2 linked regions of the Caenorhabditis elegans genome follow. The protein of the gene in region 2 purifies or fractionates together with the protein of the main gene of each other region. This does not show direct contact. Each region holds a gene or a part of one and is shown on either strand. Other genes may lie near its edges.

What was found. The genes of interacting proteins can lie anywhere in the genome.
Region 1: the proteins of fog-1 (region 2) and fog-3 purify together in Caenorhabditis elegans (affinity purification with western blotting, with the first as the bait; one study listed by BioGRID). This does not show direct contact.

What each region holds. Positions count from the first base shown.
Region 1 is NC_003279.8:10,014,617-10,018,812, reverse strand, and holds fog-3 (Anti-proliferative protein domain-containing protein), read right to left. Parts: upstream 2,049-4,196; 5' UTR 2,036-2,048; coding exon 1,964-2,035; intron 1,914-1,963; coding exon 1,832-1,913; intron 1,774-1,831; coding exon 1,672-1,773; intron 1,623-1,671; coding exon 1,520-1,622; intron 1,468-1,519; coding exon 1,343-1,467; intron 1,286-1,342; coding exon 1,197-1,285; intron 1,148-1,196; coding exon 1,059-1,147; intron 1,015-1,058; coding exon 885-1,014; 3' UTR 692-884; downstream 1-691. Other genes in the region: C03C11.1 (Collagen triple helix repeat protein), read right to left, coding at 3,376-3,440, 3,486-3,617, 3,671-4,073.
Region 2 is NC_003279.8:3,208,825-3,217,221, reverse strand, and holds fog-1 (RRM domain-containing protein), read right to left. Parts: upstream 6,177-8,397; 5' UTR 6,165-6,176; coding exon 6,103-6,164; intron 6,051-6,102; coding exon 5,948-6,050; intron 5,892-5,947; coding exon 5,791-5,891; intron 5,737-5,790; coding exon 5,489-5,736; intron 4,233-5,488; coding exon 4,020-4,232; intron 3,424-4,019; coding exon 3,278-3,423; intron 3,214-3,277; coding exon 2,911-3,213; intron 1,910-2,910; coding exon 1,460-1,909; intron 435-1,459; coding exon 201-434; downstream 1-200. Other genes in the region: Y54E10A.17 (DOMON domain-containing protein), read right to left, coding at 6,996-7,133, 7,374-7,442, 8,207-8,271.

The DNA of each region.
Region 1 (4,196 bases), 6.8 Mb from region 2:
CAAGAATGCCAACTCCTAGGAGCTGGATCGTTAGAATACGTGCGCGCGTGCTGCCTATGTTCTGCCAAGATTAGCCAACTTTATCCAACATTAGCCTACTTTGACCAACTTTATCCAACTTTTTTCCCAAAGTTAGCAACTTCTGCACTTGTCATTTATAAAGTTGCTAAAGTTGGTGGATAAGTTGCGGCGAATTGCCGAGAGTACAGAATACAGTTGGAGCAGTCTCATCAAGTTTCCATCGATATGTGATAAGAAATATAACTGTGGGGGTGAGATGTACGGTATGAGATTGAATTAAGTAAGTTGATACAAGTGCACCTACATCAGGTTTCTGTAAAAATCTCGTATTTTATTCAAAATTGTTCAACTTTTAGATTTATCAATACGTTTTCAAATTTACAAAAAGCATACAACGGAAGGCGGATCAATCAATTGCTCAATTTATTCTCATTATCAATTAATTTGGCGTGTTCAATTGAATATTGGAAGTTCCTTCATAAATCTCTTGCATCTCTATAGATTGCATCTCTATAGAAACATTGCATCTCTATAGAACTTTTCGGCTGGAAATTCCTTTGTGAATCCAACACCACCGAGCTGATGTTGACGTCGCCACCTGGAAGAAAACGCACAGTCTGCTTTCTCGCAGAGGACATTTCCCTAGCTAGAAAATCTCATGAAAACCATATTTTTAAACTGTGGCTTATTTATTCCTGAATGGAATAAACTGAAGAACAATATAAAAAATAAATTGACAAAAATAATAAAAACACGATTCAATAGTACATGATATGAAGCTTTCGTGGGAATCTAAAGATTCTAAAAATAAAACTTGGTTAACTTGAAAACGGTATGATAATTGAGATTCTAATACTGGGAAATTAAAAACGGGGAGAATATCTCATTTGGTCGTTGATGCTTGAATAGGTGAAGCTTGGCGAAGACGAAGACGAAACTTGCTGAGAGCTGAGGTACTTGATGACATCCATTGTCTGAAGATCCGGACGAGATCTGAATTCATTTTATCAGTTTACATATAACTTATTCCAACTAACTTGCTAGATCCGAAACGAGTCTGTGAGAACTCAACGCCACTGAAGGTTTGAGCAGATGACGGCTTGTAGACGAAGCGGAATGGATACATCTGAAAAAAAAATGAAATAAAATTTAGAATCTGAATATTTTTTGCATACCTCCCGAAGATGAGAGAGATTTGCGTTGATATCATCACATTTCTCTCGCGCCAATGGAGAATACATTGTGTTGACCATTTCGAGAGCAGCTGTAATTTATTTTCAAAATTGTTTTGATGATTCAATTTTCAAAAAAAAAAATTCACCTTTGTCGTTGGTGAGAAGCGGCTTTTTTCCAACAAGAACCGATTTCCCAGCTGCTCCAAGATTCGAGCAAGGCTCCGCGCGGATTGCAGCGGTTCTGACCACGTACTCGGGGACTGATTGGTAGCTGGAAAAATGAAATTTAAAGTATTTTTATATTGTCTTGTATAAAATCCAACTTCTCATCGCAGTTCACATCTCCAATCCAAATCGGTGTTTCGATTCCGTTCTCCGATAAACGAACGAAGACGTGGCCCGGATTGGCAAAAATGATCATGTTTGCTGAAACAAAAAAAATTAGAAAAATACCAATTTATTTATTTTTACAAACTTGGAAGTAGACGCAGAACATCACTCGGAGGGACTCCAGCTTCTTCGGCAGAACTTGCAAAGCATAAAGAAGTGGTTGTGTTAATCATTCGCTTCATCTCACCTAGAATTTTAAAAATAATTTTTTGTTCTATTTCTCAGGTTTTAACAAAAAAACTTACCATTTTTCGGATGATGAACATCCCAGGTAGACGAGAAATGTGAGACGAGGTAGTTTCCAAGTTCAGCGCCAAATATGCCGACCTGGAAAATATAAATTAACTCTAAACCATCAAAAAATTGTTTCAAATTACCGGTCTTCTTGGAATATGTCCAAATAAGTATCTGCACACAAAATTGACGAGCTCGCGGACTTCGGTATACATTTTCTCCTGAAAATTTAATTATAGTGAGAGATACAAATTAAACAATAAAACAATAAATATGAGACCACCCACGACGAAAACGAAAGTGCGAGCTTCTAATTTTAATAAAAGAGTTCATAAATACTGACAAAATCAACTCAATATCGGTTTAAAAAATTTCATCTATGCATTGCGAACGTAAAATTGAGCGAGCGAAGAGTGTAAATACCACCCATGACAAAACCGAGGACCACCAACAAAGATAATTGAAAAATGTACTTCTTTTTCAATAAATGTTAACGAAAAAGTAACTTATAAAAAGTATTCGAAGAAGAAACCATTGAATTAATTGTAAATTTAATGGAAATCGAGGAAGATATGCTAAAAATATGATAATGAAGCAAATTCGAAAAGAATAGGCCGCCCATGAAGTAAACTTGAGCTACGCACCAGCATCACACAATTCAGAAACTACAGTACCCTGATGACCACCCACGAAGAAATTGGTGAGACGGTTTACAGTAAGATTTATTTGAGAAATTCAGAATCATGAATCACAGGAAAACACCGATAACTCGAAAAATCAAATTATACAATAATTTAAAATTTTAGGCAGTTCTTGTACGAAAGACCACCCATGATGAAAATGAGCATTCGCACATTCTTGAGATTTTCTGACTTTATAGAGTTGAGTTTCGTTTTATATATTAAACTTTTTTTAAAATTACACTTTCCATAATTCCTCTATTACGAGACGTCTATGATAATTTTCATAACTTACGCTCGTGTACACTATATATGACGATATTTTACATTTTATTATGTCTGATTAATCTCTAATTTTCTAATATATTCTGGAAAATTGAAAAACCTTTGACAAGAAATCAGTTTTACGTCAATTAGGAGAAAACAGAATTAACATTTTCAAATAATTTCGTTGACCTACATCTCACATCGTACATCTAAAGCGAATAGGTAACCAAAAATAACCAAAATTAAGTACCTAGATGTACCTTTATTAACGAAAAAGTTTGATATTATAAGAGACGAAAATGTTCATCTCATCAAGTAAGTTAATTTTCAACATGTTACTCGGAAACGTTGGCAAATTTGGAGCAAAAATTGTACCTTTTGAGAAGGTTTTTGTTGTGAAGCATCAGCGAATCAGCTTCGAACCGGGCCAGAAACGTGAAAAATATAAATAGTTCATATTGCCCTTGTCTTCGCAAAACCTCCGATTATTACAGATTCGATTCAGAAAAATCTGGAAAATACCAAGTACGAACACAATGATAAATAAATTCAACTGAAAAATTTTATTTTGAAGACAAGATTTTGAGGATAGTTTGCTCGAGTTGACCTCACTTCTTCTGGAAGCAATCGTTTCCAATTCCAGCCAGTGTCTGATAGTTCGGATCATGAGTAGCTAAAAGTTAGATTATAACAAGAATCTGTGAACTAAAAAACAAACCAGCCATTCCAGGACCACCGGCTTTTGGAGCACCTGGAGAAGCACCACCAGCAGCTGGTTTTGCACCGTCTTTCTTGTCGAAACAATCGTTTCCAATTCCAGCAAGTGTTTGGTAATTGGGATCATGGGTGGCTGAAATTCGATTTTTAGTACGTAGCTAGATCTGAATATCCAATGAAACTCACCAGCCATTCCAGGACCTCCAGGCTTTGGAGCACCAGCCGTAGGGGAAGCACCACCAGCAGCAGCAGGAGCTTTTCCTTTCTCTTGGAATACATTTCCATCGACTCCAGCAAGAGTTTGATAATTTGGATCGTGTGTTCCTGCGACAGCATTCTTATCACTTGGAGCCTTTGGACCTCCCTCTGGTTTTGGATCATTGGATGACTTGTCTTTCTTATCACTTTTTCCATCATCACCAGTTGCACCACCACCTCCAGTCTTAGCTCCACCTCCACCATTCGATGATCCACCAGCCTTCTTCTTTCCTCCACATTGTGCAATGACGTATCCAGCAAGAGCAATGGGTGCAAGCGTACTGTAACCAAGATGAGCAAGTTGTAGAAGTGTGTCAAAGTTTTCTGCCATGTTTCTCTCTGAAAACAAATTAGTTGCGTATTTCCAGATAAAGAGCAATCTGAAGCAAGCCGGACATTTTTACCAGACTCCTGAGGATCATGAGTCTCTGAAGGTCTTTATGCCTACATGCGA
Region 2 (8,397 bases):
GAAGTCGGAGAACAAAAATGATACAGATCATGATACAGATCATGTAGGTAACAATCGAAACAAACTTTACCGGCGGTGGGAATTGTGAAAACTTGTGGAAAATTATTGGAAAAACGTGAACAAATAACAGATTTTACAAGAGGTTATGGTGGTGGTGATAGTTGGGTGGATGGAAAAAAATGTTAAAAATACGAGAAAAACTACTTTCCCATATTAACAAGGTACATATTTTTGTCCTTTCTCGGACGACGTTCTGGTTTTCCGGCTGGTAAGAGGGTGTGCTGATTGGGTCCCGAATGGAGTTTGTTGGAGCACGATGGACAGTAGTACTGGCGACACGGAGCCTCTTTGCAGTATGCGCTCTTGTTGCTGTAGACGTTGGTACGTTTCATGCGTAGGAACTGTTGGAGTTTGGCTTCTGGATTCATTCGGACCTGGAAAAATATGGGTTTTTTCTTTACAATTATTATAATTAAAAATTAAAATTAACCTTAACTATCGAATTTAATTGTAGAAAAGTTTAAAAAAATCTAAATTTTATAAGATTTTTGAAAGAAATGGGAAAAATAATATTTATTCGATGAAGCGCGCTTGCATTTTTACTTTTTTTAAAATTTTTCTACTGATTTTTTATGTTTTCAGTTTATTTTTATTGAAAATTTTACGAAAATTGCATTTTTCTTGAATTTTTCGTTAAATTTCCAGTAAAAATACATTGAAAACATGGAAAATCAGTAGAAAATTAAAAAATAAAATATCGAAAAATGTAAAAATGCACGCACGCTCCATTGAACAAATAATTGCGATTTTTTCCAAAAAATCATATAAAATCCAGATTTTTTTGCTGTAAATTATGGAAAATGACCGAATAATAGGAAATTTTTTTTTCAAATTTGCCAAAAATTGAGTTAAATTATTTTTGAATTCCCGCGCAAATTCATTCGGCATTTTCTTTTCGAGTTTTCTGGCTTTTTTTCTTGATTTTCAACAATTTTTTAAATTTAAAATTTGATTTGAAACCCCGTTTTCCAATTTTCCAAGCATTTTTTTCAAAGAAAACTTGATAACCTAAAAAAAACATAGAAAATTGGCCTAAAAATCGACAATTTCCATTAGTTTCAAACAATTTTTGCGGAAAAATGTCTGAAAAATTTAAAAACTGTCATTAATTTGCGCGGGAACTCAAAAAACGTCGTTTTTTTAAATTTTTTCAAAATTGAAAAAATCATTTAAATTTTCGGGTATTTTTCGGTTGTCGTTGAAAGGGTTGTCGTTGAAAAATACTTGATTTTCCCGAAATTGTTTTAAAAATTCTTTGGACAATCGAAAAAAATTTAGAAAACGTTATTTTTTTTCTAAGTAGACGAAAAACGGCCAAAATTTAGACCAATTTCTGGAAAAAAAAAAGAATATCTTAGAATTTTTTTCATTTGAAACTTCAAAAAAAAATCAAAATTACCGGTTCAGTTCCCACATCATATTTCGGAGCAGGAAGGAATTTATCCCATAGATCTGGTCCAATTGGATATTCGTTTCCGTTCACAGTCACAGTCTTTTCCTTCTCCAATCCGAACGATTTGACCATTTCCAAGAATTTCCGAGCTCCCATTTCAGTCTCATTTTTCTCGTTTTCCCGGTTTGAGTAGGTGCACGCCAAATTGCAATTCTTCTTGAATCCGGCATCCATTTTCGTGATCAAATCATCGTGTCCATCACCAGAATTTAGTGAGAATGGGCTTCTGGATGACCACATATTGAAATTCTTAATTTCAGCCATTTTCTGTTCCTTTTGATGATCGTCTTTTGCACATTTTAAATGATCGTAGATGCTTAGGAATGGATTGAACCATAAACCTCCACACTCATCACATCCAACATCTTCCATCACGTATGGCTTGATCTCTATCATCTGAAATATGCAATTTTTTGGTTTTTTTTTAACTTTTATACTCAAAATGCTGCGAAAATGCCAAATTTTATACCTTTAGAAAAAGAAGACCTATTCTACACGTGGTGTCAGGCTGCCCCATTTCGGCTTGATCTATGTAGCTCTATGGTTCAGAACGTGCTGACGTCACGCATTTTTGGACAAAAAATTCGTAGATCAAACCGTGATGTGACAGCCTGGCACCAAGTGATTCTAAATAGCTAAAATCTTGAATTTTGCCAATTTTCCCGTGTCGCAGCTGTCGGAAATTAATTTTTATTTAATAATTGTTATATTTTCGCCATTTTTGTCGCTTATCTTACGTTATTTCGGTGTTTTTGGCGAAAAGTTCAGGTTTTATACTGAAAAATAATGCAAAGAACTTGATTTTTTTTGTGTTATTATACTCAAAAATGGCGCAAAAAAGCTGAATTTTACAGCTAGAATTAAAAAAATTTGAAAAAAGGTTTAATTTTAGCTAAAATCTTGAATTTTTCCCGTTTCGCAACTGTGGGAAATTGATTTTTATTCAATAATTGTTATATTTTGCTCACTTTTCTTTGTTATCTTACGTTATTTCGGTGTTTTTGTCTAAAATTTTATTATTTATTTTTATACATTATACTGAAAAATAGGGTAAAAGGCTTGATTTTTTGTGTTGTTATAATGAGAATATCGCAAAAAGGCCGAATTTTCTAGCTAGAATTTTCGAAAAAATGCCATTTCGCAGCTGTCAGAAAATGATTTTTATTCAATAATTCTTATATTTTGCTTATTTTTGTCGTTTATCTTACGTTATTTCGGTCAAACTCAATAAAATAACGTGGGGTAAGCGACAAAATATGCAATTATTAAATAAAAATCAATTTCTGACCGTTTCCACAGGGGAAATTGACCAAATTAGCGAGCAAAAAAATTTAGCAAAAATCAGGTCATTTTTTCGATATTTTTTAAATGAAAAAGAGGCATTTTGAGTAACTAACCGTCTTGCTCGAATCGATATTGTCGAATTTCAGGAATTTCTTCTCCAGTGCCCTATTAAACGCAGAATCCCGTTCGAAAGTCACTCGAGCCGCTCCTTTCGGGTATCCGTAGTCTTGATCAATATCGATTGTGACGAGAAGAACAACTCCGAACTCTGAGAACATTTGAGCTATTTCCTCGGCTGTTACAATTCTCGGGAGTCCTCCAAGAAAGACGGTCCGGTGAATATCGATGATACGGTTGTGACGGGCTTTTTCCAAGATGTAGAAACCGTTGTAGATGAACCAGGGACGGATTTGAATCTAAATTGGAAGTTTTATTAATTTTATTGATTTTAAAATTATTGATTATTTATTTTCTCCTAACCATATCTCTAAATCCTGGCACTGAAACGAAGAAGTCGTTTTGTGAATTTCGATGGCATGCAGACATCAGTTTGATCACTGACTGCTCATCCGAATAGACAAGGAACAAGTACGAGTAGGATCCAATGGCGATCGATTTTCCGCGAGCTGAAAATTGAAAAATTTAAGATTTTTAAATTTAAACAATTTAAAGGTGGTATAGTCGAATTTTTTAAAAATTGCTTTTTTAGACTCGAAATTGTCTGAAAAAAATCAAATTTTATGATAAAACTGCTTGAAAACTTCTCAAAAAAAAGTAATGACGGCTCAAAAAATGGCCTAAAATTAGTTAAAATTTGAAATTTGACCGACTTGTCAAGCGGCTGGAAACTGATTTTTTTGAAATCACTTGAGTATACAATGTAATTATCTTGCGTTTTCAACTTCATTTAGGTATTTTAAACATATTTTGGACGGCGAGATTTGGTAGAAAAAATTTGAAAATCTCGCCGTCCATCGACTTTAAAATACCTAAATCGAGTTGAAAACGCAGGATAATTACATTGTATACTCAAAATTAGACGGTGATTTCAAAAAAGTTAGTTTCTAGCCGCTTGACAAGTAGGTCAAATTTCAAATTTTAACTAATTTTAGGCCATTTTTTGAGCAGTCATAACTTTTTTTTGAGAAGTTTCCTCATGAAATTCGGTGTTTTCAGACAATTTTGAGTCTAACAAAGCAATTAAAAAAAATAAAAATCCTACAATTCGGCTTCTGCTTCACTGGCCAATCGACGAAAACCGTTCCAAATTGACCGAAGAATTTGTTAATGATCTTCCGATTCATCATATGCGAGATTCCACCAACGAATACTTTGTTGGAGACGACTCGTTGATTGTTCTCGTTCCGATGGTTCTTGACAACCGTGTGCACATCTTCGGCGGTGTAGATGTTGCCTTGATCGAAGCTCTTTCCATCTGGAAAAATGGAAAATTTATTTAAAAAACAAAAACTTATAGCGTAATACTTTAAAGGCACAAGCTAAAAAGTTTGAATGGGTCTCCCCGCGATCTTGCATTTTCAAGGCTAAAAATGTTAAAATTCACAAAATATGTTGATTAAAATGGAAATTTATCGATTTTTAGACTGACTTTCATAATTTTTTGAATAAAAATCAGCTGAACCAAAACTTCGGAACGAGAAAAGTCGAAATCATGTATTTTAATATTTTAAAGGCGCATGCTAAAAAGTTTGAGCGGGTCTCGGCGCGATCTCCAATTTTTAAGACTAAAAATGTTAAAACTCACAAATTTGTTTAACAAAATGGAAATTAATAGATTTTTTGACTGATTTTTCATTAATTTATTGAATAAAAGTCAGCTAGGTTACTTAAAAACCAAAAACTTCGGAACGAGAAATGTCGAAATCATGTATCGTAATATTTTAAAGACGCACGCTAATAAAATTCAATGAGGTCCCGGTCAGGGCTGAGCAGTCGCCCAAAAAAATCGGCGATCGGCGATCACCAATTTCCGAAAAATTTCGGCGATCGGCGTTCGTCTATATTTTTATATTGAAAAAAAAACATATTTTAAGAGCTATTTTAACGAGTTACCTTTCCGTTTTTTTGTTTGGTAAGGAAATGCGACGAAAAAATTAACATTTACTCAAAAAAAAAAAAAAAATTAAAAACAACAAAACAATCGTAAAAAAACATGAGATTTTAAAAATCGAGATGAATTTATTGAAAAATTCCATCGGCGATCGCCGATGAATTTTTTTCCTTCGGCGATCGCCGATGAATTTTTTTCCTTCGGCGATCGCCGATCGCCGAAAAATCACGAAAATCGCCGATTGCCGCTCACCCCTGGTCCCGGTACGATCTCATTTTTTACAACGCTAAAATTGTTAAAAACCACTTTTTTTTAAATTGAAATGGAAATTTTTGGCCGAGTTTTCTTTCTTTTTTAAATATGAACTACAATTTCTGTCTACGATATTCAAAAACAAAAAATCTTCTATCGTACTACTTTAAAGGTACATGCAAATATAATTTTAGAGAATTTCGGCACGATCTTAAATTTTTCACGGCTAAAAATCGATTTTCTTGTCTGCTTATCTTAAAAAATAATTGAATTTGCTTTCTAAGCTATTTAAAAATCAGTTTTTTTTTCAAAAATGAGCAATTTTCCTCGCTGAAATTTTAGAAAATTCAATTCAAATGAGCATTTACCTCTAGAAACGTGTGCTTCACGTCTTTGCTGCTGGTTGTTGTTGTGGAAATTGTAGGCGGACATCGAGTCGAACGAGCCAAAGTGATGGCCGAAATCATCAGAAGCAGCCGGTGATTGGCAGTGACTGGCGTATGGTGGAGCCGGGTTGCAACAGAGCACTGTGCTCCGAGAGCTTGACACTGTTGCCGGCGGGCTCATGAGGTACGAGCCGAAACCTGCACCACGATGCGGACGCTGCTTATTTTGGCTGAAATTAAAGAAAATAACCGGTTTAAAGCACATTCTCGAGCACAAATCGCACCTAGCCAAGAGCTCGAGTTGGAGTTTAGCGAATTCCATCGGAGAAATCTGTGATGCAAGATGCATAAGCAGGTTTTGTGCAGAAGCTTCGTGGAATCCGGCCTGAAAATTAAATTTTTTAAAAATTTTATTCTCCTTTTCTTTCGCTTTTTTTTTACCTTTTCACCAAACAGAGAGTGCTCATACCCATTCGTTTGCTGGTAAAAATGTTGTGGGCAGTCTGTGCGACGCTGGAACGATCTGAACTCGTCGTCGTGATGTCTGAAAATTCGAAAATTTCAATTTATTGGCTCAAAAAGAAGCTGTAACTTACAACAGAGAATTCTCCCGCTGGTAACCACGAGTCCATTTTTCATTGTGACCACTGGGAAACATTGGTTTTAAGCTCTGAAAAATGGGAAAATTTCGAAAAATTGACTTTTCTTCGTGGGAGGTCTGAAGAAAACGCGTTTTCTGTGAAGATTCAATACGGCAGAGATAAAAATTTCAATTGAAATTGATTTAATAACACTTAATTTAAAAAGAGAGTTTAACTTTTTCGCAAATTATAATTCATATAAGAAGGAAAGAAAATTGGTGGAAATGAGACCGCCCATGAAGAAAAATCATTTTCTTGTCGAAAAATTAACAATTTCATATTTTAGAGTTGGAATTTTAATTTCAAAATTATTTTAATAAATAATTAATCAATATTTACACAAATGTAAAAAATAACACGAAAAATTTAAAAATCCGCTGATTGGCCTAAACTTCGGTGGCCCAAGACCACACACGAAGATAACTAATTTTCTCATTTTCCAGATGAAAAATTAAGAATTTTATATATTAAAATTGAAATTTCAATTTTAAAACTAATTTAATTTGAAAAAAAAATCAAATTATTCTCAAAAAATGCGAAAAAAATCGATGATTGGCCTAAAATATCGGTGGTCCAAGACCACCCACGAAGAAAAGTGACTACAGTAACCTGTACGTCAACACCATCACGTCAAAATGCACAGACCGCGAAATTTGAAAATAGTTTATCTGAATTTGCGAATATATTAATAAAATGACCATTTAAATTAAGTTTTATATAAGAAAAAGCGATAAATTATTTAAAAATTTTAGAAAAAAGTTTTTTTAACCTCCAATTTCTGAAAAAAATATCGAATTTAATAAAAATAAAACATTTATTGACGAGATCAAGAAGAAAAAAAGTTATTTTTAAAAAGCAGCCGATGGATCAAAAATTCCGTTGAATCGATTCGAAATTCTATTATTATATATGGCAGCCTGTGGTACTGGATCATATGCCACGTCGCGTTCCGTAAATACTCCTGTACACTCATTCGGGCACACGTCCTGTAAGAAAATCATGTCAAATAATGTTAAAATCACGTGGTGCCAGGCTGCCCTAACACGGTTTGATCTACAAAAAATGCGGGAATTTTTCGCCCAAATATATGTGACGTCAGCACGTTCTTAACCATGCGAAATCAGTTGAGAACTCTGCGTCTCTGTTCCCGCATTTTTCGTAGATCTAAGTAGATCAAGCCGAAATGAGACACTCTGACACCACGTGTGAAATGAAAATTTTAATACCGTCAATTGAATTTCCGGGCTGCCGAGGTTCGACACAGATGGTCCATTTAATGGCTGGGCGTTGAAGAACTGAAAACTTGCGCGTAAAGTATGGTGCATTGAGAGGGGCGGAGTTAATACATCGGATTTCACACGCAAGTTTTTTTGGCGGGAAAATCGAATTTTTCAGAGTTTCCGTTACGGATTTCTGGCTTCCCTCATAAATTGAAATGGAAGAGTTTGCCGAACTAGGCCATTTTGGCTCGGCCATATCTGGGGTAGATTTACGGCGCGTTGCGTGTCGCGTCGCGGCTCGGTTTTAGTTGTAAAACTAAATGTATTTGTCCGTGTGGAGTACACGGCTTTCCCACGCGTTGTCCGGCAGGATTGTCAATGGAGGGCGAAAAATTCAATGAGGAAGGCCAGAACCCCGTGTTTCCGAAATTTTTTAAAAATCAAAATCGTCATTTTTGTGGGTTTTTTTTCTATTTTTCTCCACGTGGATTACACAGAACACTTGTCAGTAGAGCACTCTTGCATTTCTGGTATACCCGAGAGTTCCTGGATAGCAAAGCCATAGGTTTATTTTTATTTTTCCAAGCAAAAACAGAATCCCAAATTATTATAAAAATGGAGTGAGCAAAAGAGAGAAAGAAGTTAGTTAAAGATCTTGCGGGTACACTTGTTGGCACAAATTTCCACAGTGTGTGGAGCAGCATTGTGATATCCAATTGATCCGTCTTCGATGGATCCTTCGGTGACGAACTGTAACAGGGTGTTATGAGGAGGTAGGTGGACAGGTTACGGTAGAAGTGGGGGGGGGGGGGGGGAAGTGATATTTTTTGTCAACTTACATTCCATGTTGTGCATGTGGAGAGGGAGCCAACTGGGCGAGCAAATCGAGCCACGAGGGTGTTGCCTGAAACATAATTTGATAATAAATTTGCGCGTGAAATATGGTGTTTTGGAGTGAAGAGACAGCTATGACCTGATACATCAGAATTTACGCGCAAATTCAAATATTGAAGTTTTGCGCGTGAAATTT